Linked DNA regions of Oryza sativa Japonica Group. The protein of the gene in region 2 binds, or shares a complex with, the protein of the main gene of each other region. Links are inferred from orthologs where the notes say so. Each region holds a gene or a part of one and is shown on either strand. Other genes may lie near its edges.

Region 1 (4,118 bases), on a different chromosome or scaffold from region 2:
TTCTGATTTCTGGTAACTTGACTGCTAGACTTACATAATAACTAGAGAAAATAGTTTGATGCACACTAATTAACTAGAGAAAAACTACTGGGCAATTGAACGTCCCAAACCATGAGATCCTTACCACGTATGTGACCTAAATTAAAGTAAACAAAGCTACCATCAAATATATTGTCAGGATCATGACAAACTCCAGCTATCAGTCTACCACCAATATCGTCAAGCTTTCCCAGCATTCAGTTTCCACTCTTCAGTAAAAGCAAGCAATGATCAGTGTTCATTTACCAGTCTCCAAAGCAAGGTAGGCAGCATTTAGCATGTCATTACAAGAAAAACCATGGTGCTACTGACTAAAAGTTACAGAACTAAAGATGGCAACAATGTTTTAAGTGGGATGGTCAATGGAGATCATCATGGCATTGCAGCCAACACATATGACCGATCACAACGTTTTACCACCACCACCACCACCACTTGACATGAGTGAGGCGGCAGCAGCGCCTGCAGTCGGGACGATTCCAGTCGAATTGCCTGGTTTAGAGAGATGCAGAAGCCTGCAGTGTGTTTTGCAGTCAAAAGTGAGAAAATTCGTTTATGCCAGTCTAGTAATAATCTTGAGATAGCTAAGGAACACTTAGTTACTTACGGTGCTAGATATTCACAGAACGAAGTGACGGCTGAAACGACATCGTTGTAATTGTCAGCAGCAGCAGGGGCCGTGATTTCCACTAGCTGTATTGCAGGAGTGATTGGCACAGCTTCGTTGGTAGCATGGAGTTTTGTCATCTTGCTAACAGAGGTAACGGTCACAGTTATCTGGGCACCTCGGTGGAAACGAAATGCAAATCCTCCCTTCAGAACTTCATGATCTAACTTGTACCCTATACCGTAGAAGTAACGCAATACATTGTTGCTGGCTTTGCTCTCTACAATTGACCGCACAAGGACTGAGATTTGCTCTGCACCAGCACCTCTCATGGCACCTCCAACATGTCTTATGGTCCTACATGAATACTACTGGATTCAGAATATCATCAAATATCACAAAAATGTAAATTTTAGCAGCTGAAAGAAAAGTTACCAGGATGGCGTGGACTGAGCTAAGTCACACAATAAACGAACCTCTGATGGGACAACTCCTGTATGATTGGAAGATGTATATGAGTAACAATGGCATATGATCAGAATAATGAAAAAGTTGCAAACTGACCTAGATTTGGCCCACTTTTAAGACAGAGCTCATGCACTCTGACACGTTCTTTTGGGACACCAGAGAGGCCCTGGAGAAGAACCTCAAGAGCATCAACATGCTGCATAACAAGAAGATCAACCAAAAGTTACACTGATGTCAAAGCAATGAAAACTAAAAAAGGTTAAATGGTGTTCTAAGCACAAGACATTGACATGTGTATATAAATTAATCCCTTTATTGTAAAATTACAAACCATATAAGTGATATGATTCCTCCAATTGTATATAAAATAGAACCATATCAACATATTGAAAAGAGAATCAAAAAAAGTCTGCAAGTGGCAGAAGTAGTGCCCTCAGAGTGGAGAAACATGGTTGACCATATAGTGGTCAGCATGATCAACTGTATACTTTTTTTTTATTATCCTGAAGGGAAGTGTTGATATGCTGACAAGAGGAAGCTATAAGAGACTAACAAAAGGTCATATAGAGACAATGGATCGACGACAAAGTCTTAATGCTGGCATGAATTATTATTCTCTATTCCCTGATGTGTTTCGTTCAAGAAAAAAGAAATTCTCTATGGACATAAAGTTCCAATACTACTTCATGCTATATGGAGTGAAAAAATAACTTTGTTCCTAAGTAGGACTATTGAGATGTAATTTGACATTGGGGCTATGCAGTTGATAGATTTGCTACCTGGGATAGCTTAAGTGTTACCTTTCAAAAGGTTTTATCACAATTACATTTACAGAGGTCTGTTTTCAGGCAATTGACACCTCCAACAACAAAAATGCTATCTTAAATCAAGTGATAGAAAGTTCATTTAGTAAACGTCGAAATTCTACATTCCAACTCCTTTGGATAAGGTTACTACAAAGCGAAAGGCCAAATAACCTTATGCCAAAAATTAAATAAAATTCAGAATTCTAGATACAACATACAAGTAAGGAGCGCAAATGTCAGATCAGCAAACTTGACTAGTACCGATTTCCCAGAAAGGCCTACCATCATACAAAAATCAAGAATCCATGAAGAACATCACATCTACCATCACTCCGGCTTATGTTACGGGCCATGTATGATTTTCCGGGTAAAAGTTCAAATTGGTCATGTTTTACAGCATAAACAGACAAATCAGTTTCATATGAACAAAAATGCATCGTTGCATAGCTACAGATCACTCATTCTCGGAAGAAACTACCGTTCACTTCAACAACCGCTCACACAGTCACCACTCATACAAGTCTACTGGCGAAGTGAGAAAGAAGAACAATAACCTGGGTCTCGATGATCCCCTGCACCACGCACTCCATCAACCCCACCGCTTCTCGCTACCACAATCCCTGCAAGAGAGACAAACCCTGAAACCACGCTGCGGAATTTCGTCGAACAGCTACCTCGCAGCAACAAAAATTCACCCCCACCTTTAACCTAACAGCAATAATCCGCGGCGCGGCGGGGGCTGAGGCGTCGGGAAGTGAGCCGATCCGAGGCGCAAGAGCTCCCCCCACCTCGCAAACCCCGCGTCCCCGAACACTCCCCTCTCCGCCACTGACCGCTCGCCGTCCTCCGCCGCCTCCTCCTCCTGCAGCGATGGAGACGAGAAGAAAGAATTCCGAGAAACCGAGGGGGGTAAAGTGATAAAATGCCTCACCCCCGCGCGAAGGGTCGCGGCGTTTTTGCATCTAGGCCCCTGGAAGAATCTGAAATTTCAGTCATACCCTTCCTCTGACTTCTCCTCTTCCTCTTCCTCCCCCACGCGCTCGTCTCGTCTTCCTCTCGAATTCCCATTTTCTTCCACCTCCTCCTCGTCTCGAGGTCTCAGATCCAATGGCCGCGACGGCGACGGCGACGACCACCGCGTAGAGCGCGTGAGAGTCTGCGTGGACGGCTAACTATGGCCTCGCCGGCGGGGGCAATCGGCGGCGCGTCGCCGTCGGGGCGGGTGCTGGGCCCTGCGCTGGACCGGATCATCAAGAACGCGGCGTGGCGGAAGCACTCGGGCCTCGTGGCGGCCGCCAAGGCGGCGCTCGACCTGCTCTCCTCGTCGGCGTACGCGTCGGCGTCGGCGCCGTCGCCGCCGTCGCTGCTGCTCGGGTTGCCGGCGGCCGCCGCGGACGCGTGCATCCACGCGCTCCTCCTCGCGCTCGAGTCGGCGTCCCCCAAGGTCGCCGACCCGGCGCTCGACTGCGTCGCCAAGTTGCTCTACCACCGCCTCCTCGTCGGTGATCTCGGCGGTGGCGGCGGCGACGACGACTCCCCGTCCTCCAAGCTGCTCGCCGCCGTGCTCTCCTGCGGCGCGCTCGCCGACGACGCCATGGAGCTCTCCACCCTCCGCGTCCTCGTGGCCGCCGCGCGGTGCCCCTCCGTCGCCATCCGCGGGGAAGGGCTCGGCCAGATGCTCAAGACCTGCTACAACATATACCTCAGTAGCAGCAGCGGCGCCAACCAGCTCTGCGCTAAGCTGGCGCTGGCGCAGGTGCTGGTGATCGTGTTCGCGCGCGTGGAGGTGGACTCCATGGATGTGCGCGTGCGCACGGTGTCGATCACCGACATGATGGACATGTCTGACCGCAACCTGAATGACTCCAGCATTGTCCATGCGGCGCAGAGCTTCATAAACGAGACGATGGAGGGAAGCGATGTCCCTGAGCCGGGGTCCCCGGTTGAGCCGGCCGAGACGGATGGGAAGGAGGATGTTGTCATGAGCAAGATCAGGGAGGATGGGTTGACACTGTTCAAGAACCTGTGCAAGCTGTCCATGAAGTTCTCGACGCCGGATAATCCCGAAGATCAGGTCCTGCTGCGCGGGAAGGTGTTGTCTCTTGAGTTGCTCAAGATGGTTATCGACAATGCTGGGGCATTCTGGAGAACGAATGAAAAGTATGATATGATACTCATTATTGTCTTACTTCTGTGCA
Region 2 (3,525 bases):
ATATGACATAAAAAGGAAAGAAAATATACCAGCTAGGCTATCTATTGATGTTGATCATGAAGTATATGACAGATCATTAGAAAATGTTGGAGTTTGGAAGCCTGTGGGGACACCTAAAGGGCCAACACATCTAGAGTCTTTTTCTGCTAAAACGTATACTGGTACAAGCCAAGGTCTGCCTGTAAAAAGACAGCCTATTGTGGATCTTCTCAGCGCCATGGCTCTGATAGTTCAACAATCTACTTCGTTTGTTGATATCGCACTTGATATGGATGATGGAGATGGCTCTTTTTTCTGGCTTTCCTTGGATGAACAAAAGAGACGTGGATTCTCTTGTGATCCTTCAATGGTTCATGCTGGCTGCGGCGGAATATTAGGAACGTGCCATTCAAAGGATTGTGCTGGTGTTGATTTAGTTGACCCACTTTCTGCAGAGGTAAAACATGGTTCTGTTCATGTTCCTATCATTATATCGTTCACATTTTCTCCTAATGCCAAAGTTTATGCCCAATCTCTTCTTTTGGATACAGGTTTCAGACTCATCTGTGATTAGCTTGTTACAGTCTGATATAAAAGCGGCTCTTAAAACTGCCTTTGCCAACATGGACGGTCCATTATTAGTGACTGATTGGTGCAGGGGTCGAAGTAATGCAGCTGAGTATGCATCTATGGGAGATGCATACTCTTTTCAGCACCCAACTGGTGATATCCGGGAGTCCTCAAGCAGTATATCCATAGGTGGAGATTCAATGAGCCCACCCCAATCAAGTCATGTTATATCTAATGACCGAGGTATTCCCACTTGATACTTCTTTCACAAAAGTAATATTTCAGAGCAAGCAAGAAATTATGATTCATCCGAGAGATCAAATGTCTATGCAGGCACTTCGGAGCTGGAGCACCATAGGGGATATCACCGTGTTAGACCAACCGTTGCTGTCCTCCCTTTGCCTTCTCTGCTTGTCGGGTAGCCTAATTTCTTTCCCTGGATTATTGTTGGCCTTAACTAAACATATTGTCTGTGTGAGTTACTGATTCAAGTATTGTAACCGCAGTTACCAGGATGATTGGTTAAAGACCTCTGCTAATTGTCTTAGCTTGTGGGAGAAGGCTCCTCTGGAACCTTATGCTTCACCAAAGCCTGTAAGTATTATTGGATTTTGTGGCTTATAATCCATAAGTTTGATACTTTTGGATCTATTAATTGTTTAAAGTATCGCCTCTCATCCATAATTACTTTACATCAGTGCATAGTAACTATAATCCATATAGTTTTTGTAGCCATAACAGCGAAATGTTGCTAGAATCGATAAAGGTTTCATTATATTTAATTAATTAATCATTATCGACTTATATATCTCTTATGTGTGTGCTCTTTTAGGTTACTTATTATGCTCTGTGCCCTGATATTGAAATGCTTACTTCTGCGGCCACTGATTTTTTCCTGCAGCTTGGAACAAGTAAGTTCTTCCTCTTCCTCTTGCTTTTGTTACCACCTATGAATGTACAACTGTTATTGGAACACACATTCAGGATTACGGACCATGGTCAGCTAATTGCAGTTTCCACTGGCTTCTGAAAAATGAAAATCTATTTATTTTGGACAGTTTGATATAATATAGTTACACATTTGGTTGTGCCGAATGCTTAGAATATACTTGTATATTTACAAACCAAAAGAAGAACGAAAGAAAACCAGCTAATTTTGGCAAATGGGATTCCCAATTTCGTGAAGCTCTTGAACAAGTGTGACACACAGTCCAAATGTGATTGAGCTTGTCATAGTAATAATGGTGGGAGGCAGTCTGACATTGCTTGGTTAGGGAATGAAAACTCAACACTTTAGGTTGAATTACCATTCAACATATTCAACTAATGGGATGGTACGTATTCTGTGATAACAGATGAAGAACGGAGGGAGAAGCTAACCAAATTGACACCTTTCGGCAGTAATGCTAACTGCTGTAATGCTGTTAACTGTTTCTAATTTACCATTTCTCCCTCAATATTTTCTTTGACCGAAGAACAGTATATTTCTTCCTCAATATTGACTACCGAGTGCCAAATAATATCCTGGGTGCTTCATATGAAATTAAGAGACAAAATTGCTAATTAACCATAAGCTTAGATGATACGTAAATTTAACATGACATTTTTACAGTTGATCTTTTCTGTGCTTCTAAGATGACATATTTGACATCAAAATCATGTCTGTGACTTTGAACATTTTAATCTAGTCATTGTTGGTGACAGTATATAGGTTTAATGTTACCATGATCTTTTGGTACTGAAGTTGCTTGCCATATTTTGTTAATCTTGTAATCAATCCATTGTGCTGGAAGTGTTTTCGTTATTGTTTATTGCACTTATTGATTGTTCTTTCCTACAGTTTATGAAGTTTGCAAACTGGGAACTCACTCTCCACAAAACAGTGGAGGGCAAATGGAACTATCCCCTGGAAAATATTTGTCTTCAGGGCTCGTTCTCACCGAGTGTCCTGATCAAGTGAAGATTGGAAACGGCCACTCAAGTTCCATCAGTTCAACAAGCGAATATCTTCAAGCTCTTTCAAGAAACTGGACTGTGAAAAGCTTTGTGACATCTCTGACAAGGGTGATAAAGGACATAAAACTAAATTCAAGCATCTTGGCAAATCAGAAAGAAAGCACTAGTGGACCTTGCACTGTAAGGCCTTTTTTTTGCATTTTGTCCCTTTCACATCTGTTCGATTGAAATAATTTAACAAAACAAAAGCAGCATCTCTCTCCTGTAATGTCTTTGCACTTTGCACAGATAACCTCACTGTTTATTCTTATTTGTTTTCTCTTTAGTCCATCTGCCCTAAGCATTGAATTTCAGAAGATTCACTTGCTTCCTTTCCTTCAATTTTTTTCATGAGAACAGTAGGGGATACGTAGAAAGCCCCAACATTAAAACTGTACAGAAGAATTTTCAAATGAAAAGCATAGATAACTGTTTGACATGTAGTTATTCAATTGTAATATAACAATTTAGTACCACCTTTATTTCGTATATAATTTGTTCTTCTAGGCTATTTTCTAGACATTGTACTTGTACTATTTTCATTCTTTGTTCTTTTCAAATTGTGCTGGAAAACACTGTTTCAACACACCATTATATAGAACACATTATTTTAACACAAATTGTTTGTTCTTTGTAAATTGTGCTGGAAAACAGGCCAACAGTAGCAATATGATAACACTTATTATCCATGCAGGTAATTTATGTAGTCTGTCCATTTCCCGAACCTTCTGCTGTCCTAGAGACACTGGTAGAATGTTCTGTTGCTCTTGGGTCGGTAATGTTATCCCCAGAGAGAGAAAGGAAATCATTCCTATATTCTCAGGTTGCCAAAGCCCTAAACTGCAATGCTTCTGTTGATGAATCATCAGCATCTAATGTTGTGATGCTCTCTGGTTTCAGTATACCTAAGCTTGTCTTGCAGATTGTTACTGTTGAAACTTTATTGAGACTCCATAAGCCAAACAATGAGCTTGCTGTTTT
Region 3 (3,972 bases), about 19 Mb from region 2:
GCAAAGCCTGGGATTGCTTTCGTGGAGTACGGCGACGAGGGGCAGGCTACCGCTGCCATGAACCATCTTCAGGGGTTCAAAATTACGAAAGATAACCAGATGCTTATCTCGTATGCGAAGAAGTAAATGTACTATTGACTTGCTCGATGAATGTTGTAGTCCCAAGTTTTCGCATAATCCATAGATTTTCATTGTTAGGTAGACTACACCATGACAACCATGTTAATGTACTACTGCTCAGCTGCCCGTGTGTGTTTCAGGAATGAGATGAAATTTGAACCATCTTTGCAGTCGTGAGTTCTCCTAGTTAGTTCCACTCGTGTTCCCTTGTGTAAAATATGGCAGCTTGAGACGATTTACATTTATGCTATTGCTGTTAGCCTCGTTAAAATATTTACCATCTCATAGTCATACTTGTGTAGTTGTGTCACCATGGTCACCTGACAGCAACTGTGGGATTCAATTACCATTAAATCATTAATATGTTGAAAGAAACATCTAAAATGACAAGTGAGGCAATTAGACAATTCCATTGAACACACATGTTATCATACACTCCTATAATCGGGAAAAAGATGTTGCTCCGAAAAATCTAAAAGTTTAACATGTTAGGCATGCCTAACACGATGAGATGGAGAGCACACGAGAAACTACGAACAATAATATTATGATAAACCGAACATAGCAACGAACATTAATACAGCGCAATTTGTTCGTCTTCGGCAAACTGGTCAGATCCTAAAACATTGTTGTGGTGTTTTTTTTTTCCTGGCTGGCGTACTCAAAATCTCCAAGGCATAGCCCAGCACTGGGCTACTCAGGTTGATCATCGGAAGGAGCCTGGGACATTTCATGGAAGACAGTGGTGTCACACTCTTTCGAGTTCAGTAACATGCTTTCCCAGCTGGTCCTTCAGCTCTTTCTGCCACCCTTCGATGAGCTTCTTATGTTTGTCGATGAGCTCGGACTTGGTCTTCAGCTCTTCCTCCATTATAGCAATATCCTGCAAACCGAAACTGGACATGTTAAAACATGATGACACATTATTATTTGATTATTACAGCTTGGGGACCACGCCATATAGGATTTCTCTTGATTTCTCCCATGAAGCTTATAGAGAAAAATCGATGCACAATTTTTTTTTTACAACGGTTGCAATATAACATCAATATAATTGATTTCAAAGAGAGGGTCAAATGGATTTTATACAACCAATCTAGATAGCTTTAAACTTATTGATGGGCCAAATATTAAAAACCATTGGATCTCAAGCACTCTAAAATGTTGAGCACAACGAGTACTAACACAGAAAAAAAACTTCAATTAGACATCTCAGAGAATTAGTGCTAACAATACGGGACTGATTTAGAGCTGGCCCAGTCAATTCAAGACTGTAAAAGAGACAAACTCAAGCCCTTATCTTTGAAAATTGAATATTTTTTAGACCTTTTCCCTCGCCATCCCCAAGCTCTCAGCCTCCCATGTCTGTGTACTCTGGTGTCAAATCGTTACTCTGTGCTTACCCAACCTAGGGCATGTTTGAGGGAGCTTTTGGCAGCTGCAGCTTTTCCTAAAATTAAAAGCTCACTCAAACAGTTCAGCTTTTCATCTAGATTCTGAGAAGATGTAGTTAAAGAATACAGAAAATAAACTAGAAACAAGAAACCTAACTTTCCAGCTTCTTCATATTCTCATAAACTGACTACCAACCAATTGCTTCTCAAAATCTTAAGCTCCCCCAAACAAGGTCCTAGTTCTACCTACAGGCTAATTTGCTAATCACAAAGTTCTAATTTGCTAATCATTTCGAAGTCAAGGAGTACCTTTCGAAGCAAAGTTGTTCCGAAAGCAATGCAATGTACCTTTCGAAGCATTTCTTCTGTCGACGGTCGGTCCTCGCGCTGCAGGCTGATGAAGTAAGACTGGAGCTTCTTCGCAGCCTCCATGAAATCCCTCGCGTGCCTCTCAACATCAACTGTTCCACATTATAACAACCACAACACCTTAGAATCCCTATTTTGCTAACCAGCAACAAAGCAAAAGAATCCAATTTCTACATCGACAGTTGAGCACACAGATGTAGAACGCTCAAATGCCACCCTCTCAATCTCATCTCAGCACCCGCGAGACGCCCGCGTACCAACAGCGCAAGTAAAAAGAAAAAATAACTTCGCCACATTTTGCTAGAGCACGAGGGGCTTCCTAATCCCCACCTCGTAGGCAAAACAGCGAACACCTGGCGGGCGGGCGAGTCGAACCAAACCAGCCGCGCCAAATCTTGGCCGGGGGAAGCGCAAGAACGACGGGGAAGGGAGGCTGCAGAGGGAGGAGAGAGGGGGAGCGGCGGGGTCAGTCTCAGTGAGTCCGACGTACTCTGGTGGGAGGATTGGAGGGAGCGGTCGACGGCCTGGAGCTCGCGCGCGGGGAGGCAGGGCAGCAGCGCCGCCTCCAGCGCCGCCACGCAGGCCATCATGTCGTCGCGCGCGCTCTCCCCGGGCCCCTGCTGCTGCTGCTGCGCCGCCTGCGGCGGCGTCTGCGCCGGCGACTGCGACGGCGGCTCGGCCATGAGAGCGAGAGACGAGAGAGAGAGAGGTGGGGATCGCAAAATTGCAATGAAACCCTTCTTCCAAAAACTACTAGAAAATGGGTGCGCCTGGCGCACCTACTAAGGCTGTGTTCAGAGGAGGGGCTTGGGAACCCCTCCTCCTGCCACGCAAAACGAAGTTTATTTTATTGCATGATTAATTAAGTATTATCTAATTTTATTTTAAAAAATAGATTAATATGATTTTTTTAAACAACTTCTATATATAAAGTTTTTTTATAAATCACACCGTTTAGCAGTTTGAAAAGCGTACACGTGGAAAACAAGATAGGTGGGTTGGGAAAATGGGGGGAAGAACATAGCTTAAAAGTACCCTGTAAATATTTATACCTTTGTTAGGATGTATAAATGTTTTAGAGTTATTTAGACTTAGTTTGATTTATTAGATATATAGATATATATACATATATATATATATATACATATATATATATATATATATAATGATATTTATGATATTTCTATTTGGAAAATAAATCTGGAATTCTATTTGGGAAAAATTCTAGGTCTATAAATATTTTTTTCTAAGTTAATTGTCTGAGTTTGAATAAAATGCACCAATATATAAAATAATAAATAAATGCAATAAAGACATATTTCATGATGAATCTAATTAAACTAATTTGGTGTTACAGATTTTGTATTTTTTTTTATAAAGCCAACCGGTGTTAGAGAAGTTTAACTGAAAGATAAACTTAGATTACAATATGAACATATGGAGTCAGTGAATTTCCGTTGTATTTTAGAAAAAAGAAACATGAAATGCTAATATTTTTTTTCCTATGCATATTGTTTAAGTCCCATTTATCTTTATGTTTGTGTATTTAATCTTGTGTTAAACATCAAATATGGCAACATATATTGCTTGACTTCGTGACTTTCTGATTTTTTTACTGTAGCATAAAAGTGAACACACTTCTTTGCTGCTCGACACGTATGCATGCGGTTGTCATAAATACATCTAATTAATCGATCAGTGATAGTCACAATTAACTTAATGTTATCGGTAGATATTTCTTTTATTGATGTAATATACTCCTTAGTTGATTATAAGTTATAGCAGAATCTAATATAGCATTAGGTTAGGTTGGTGCCATTTTGGGGAGTACGACCGATGTACCCAGTCGGCTAGTCAATTGGTCTAATCTATACTTCTTCAAAAAAAAAAACGGAGATATGTCATATAGTGAATATGTCATCATACCTACCCTCATTGTAAATTTTGTAAGTTGCCCCTTAAATTTCTTAATATTTAAAAGATCAAATCTAAATTGATAGTCAAATAAAAAAATGATTAGGTAGTGTTTGAATCTCCTGAAGATGAAGATTAAGTGTTTCACGCAAAACGAGGTGATAATAACATGTGA

The links.
Region 1: mediator of RNA polymerase II transcription subunit 13 (region 2) and mediator of RNA polymerase II transcription subunit 18 share a complex: the UniProt entries of both Arabidopsis thaliana proteins name them as parts of the mediator complex. The link is inferred for Oryza sativa Japonica Group from reciprocal best matches to the Arabidopsis thaliana genes GCT and AT2G22370.
Region 3: mediator of RNA polymerase II transcription subunit 13 (region 2) and mediator of RNA polymerase II transcription subunit 28 share a complex: the UniProt entries of both Arabidopsis thaliana proteins name them as parts of the mediator complex. The link is inferred for Oryza sativa Japonica Group from reciprocal best matches to the Arabidopsis thaliana genes GCT and AT3G52860.

What each region holds. Positions count from the first base shown.
Region 1 is NC_089036.1:5,238,057-5,242,174, reverse strand, and holds mediator of RNA polymerase II transcription subunit 18, read right to left. Parts: upstream 2,815-4,118; 5' UTR 2,622-2,814; intron 2,541-2,621; 5' UTR 2,511-2,540; coding exon 2,475-2,510; intron 1,311-2,474; coding exon 1,211-1,310; intron 1,140-1,210; coding exon 1,082-1,139; intron 1,004-1,081; coding exon 647-1,003; intron 555-646; coding exon 443-554; 3' UTR 255-442; downstream 1-254. Other genes in the region: brefeldin A-inhibited guanine nucleotide-exchange protein 1, read left to right, coding at 3,095-4,080. UniProt on the Arabidopsis thaliana protein: Component of the Mediator complex, a coactivator involved in the regulated transcription of nearly all RNA polymerase II-dependent genes.
Region 2 is NC_089039.1:22,057,419-22,060,943, reverse strand, and holds part of mediator of RNA polymerase II transcription subunit 13, read left to right. Parts: coding exon 1-436; intron 437-530; coding exon 531-792; intron 793-882; coding exon 883-967; intron 968-1,055; coding exon 1,056-1,143; intron 1,144-1,381; coding exon 1,382-1,460; intron 1,461-2,389; coding exon 2,390-2,685; intron 2,686-3,238; coding exon 3,239-3,525. UniProt on the Arabidopsis thaliana protein: Component of the Mediator complex, a coactivator involved in the regulated transcription of nearly all RNA polymerase II-dependent genes.
Region 3 is NC_089039.1:3,232,303-3,236,274, forward strand, and holds mediator of RNA polymerase II transcription subunit 28, read right to left. Parts: upstream 2,639-3,972; 5' UTR 2,567-2,638; coding exon 2,374-2,566; intron 1,976-2,373; coding exon 1,863-1,975; intron 1,004-1,862; coding exon 869-1,003; 3' UTR 512-868; downstream 1-511. Other genes in the region: U1 small nuclear ribonucleoprotein A, read left to right, coding at 1-126. UniProt on the Arabidopsis thaliana protein: Component of the Mediator complex, a coactivator involved in the regulated transcription of nearly all RNA polymerase II-dependent genes.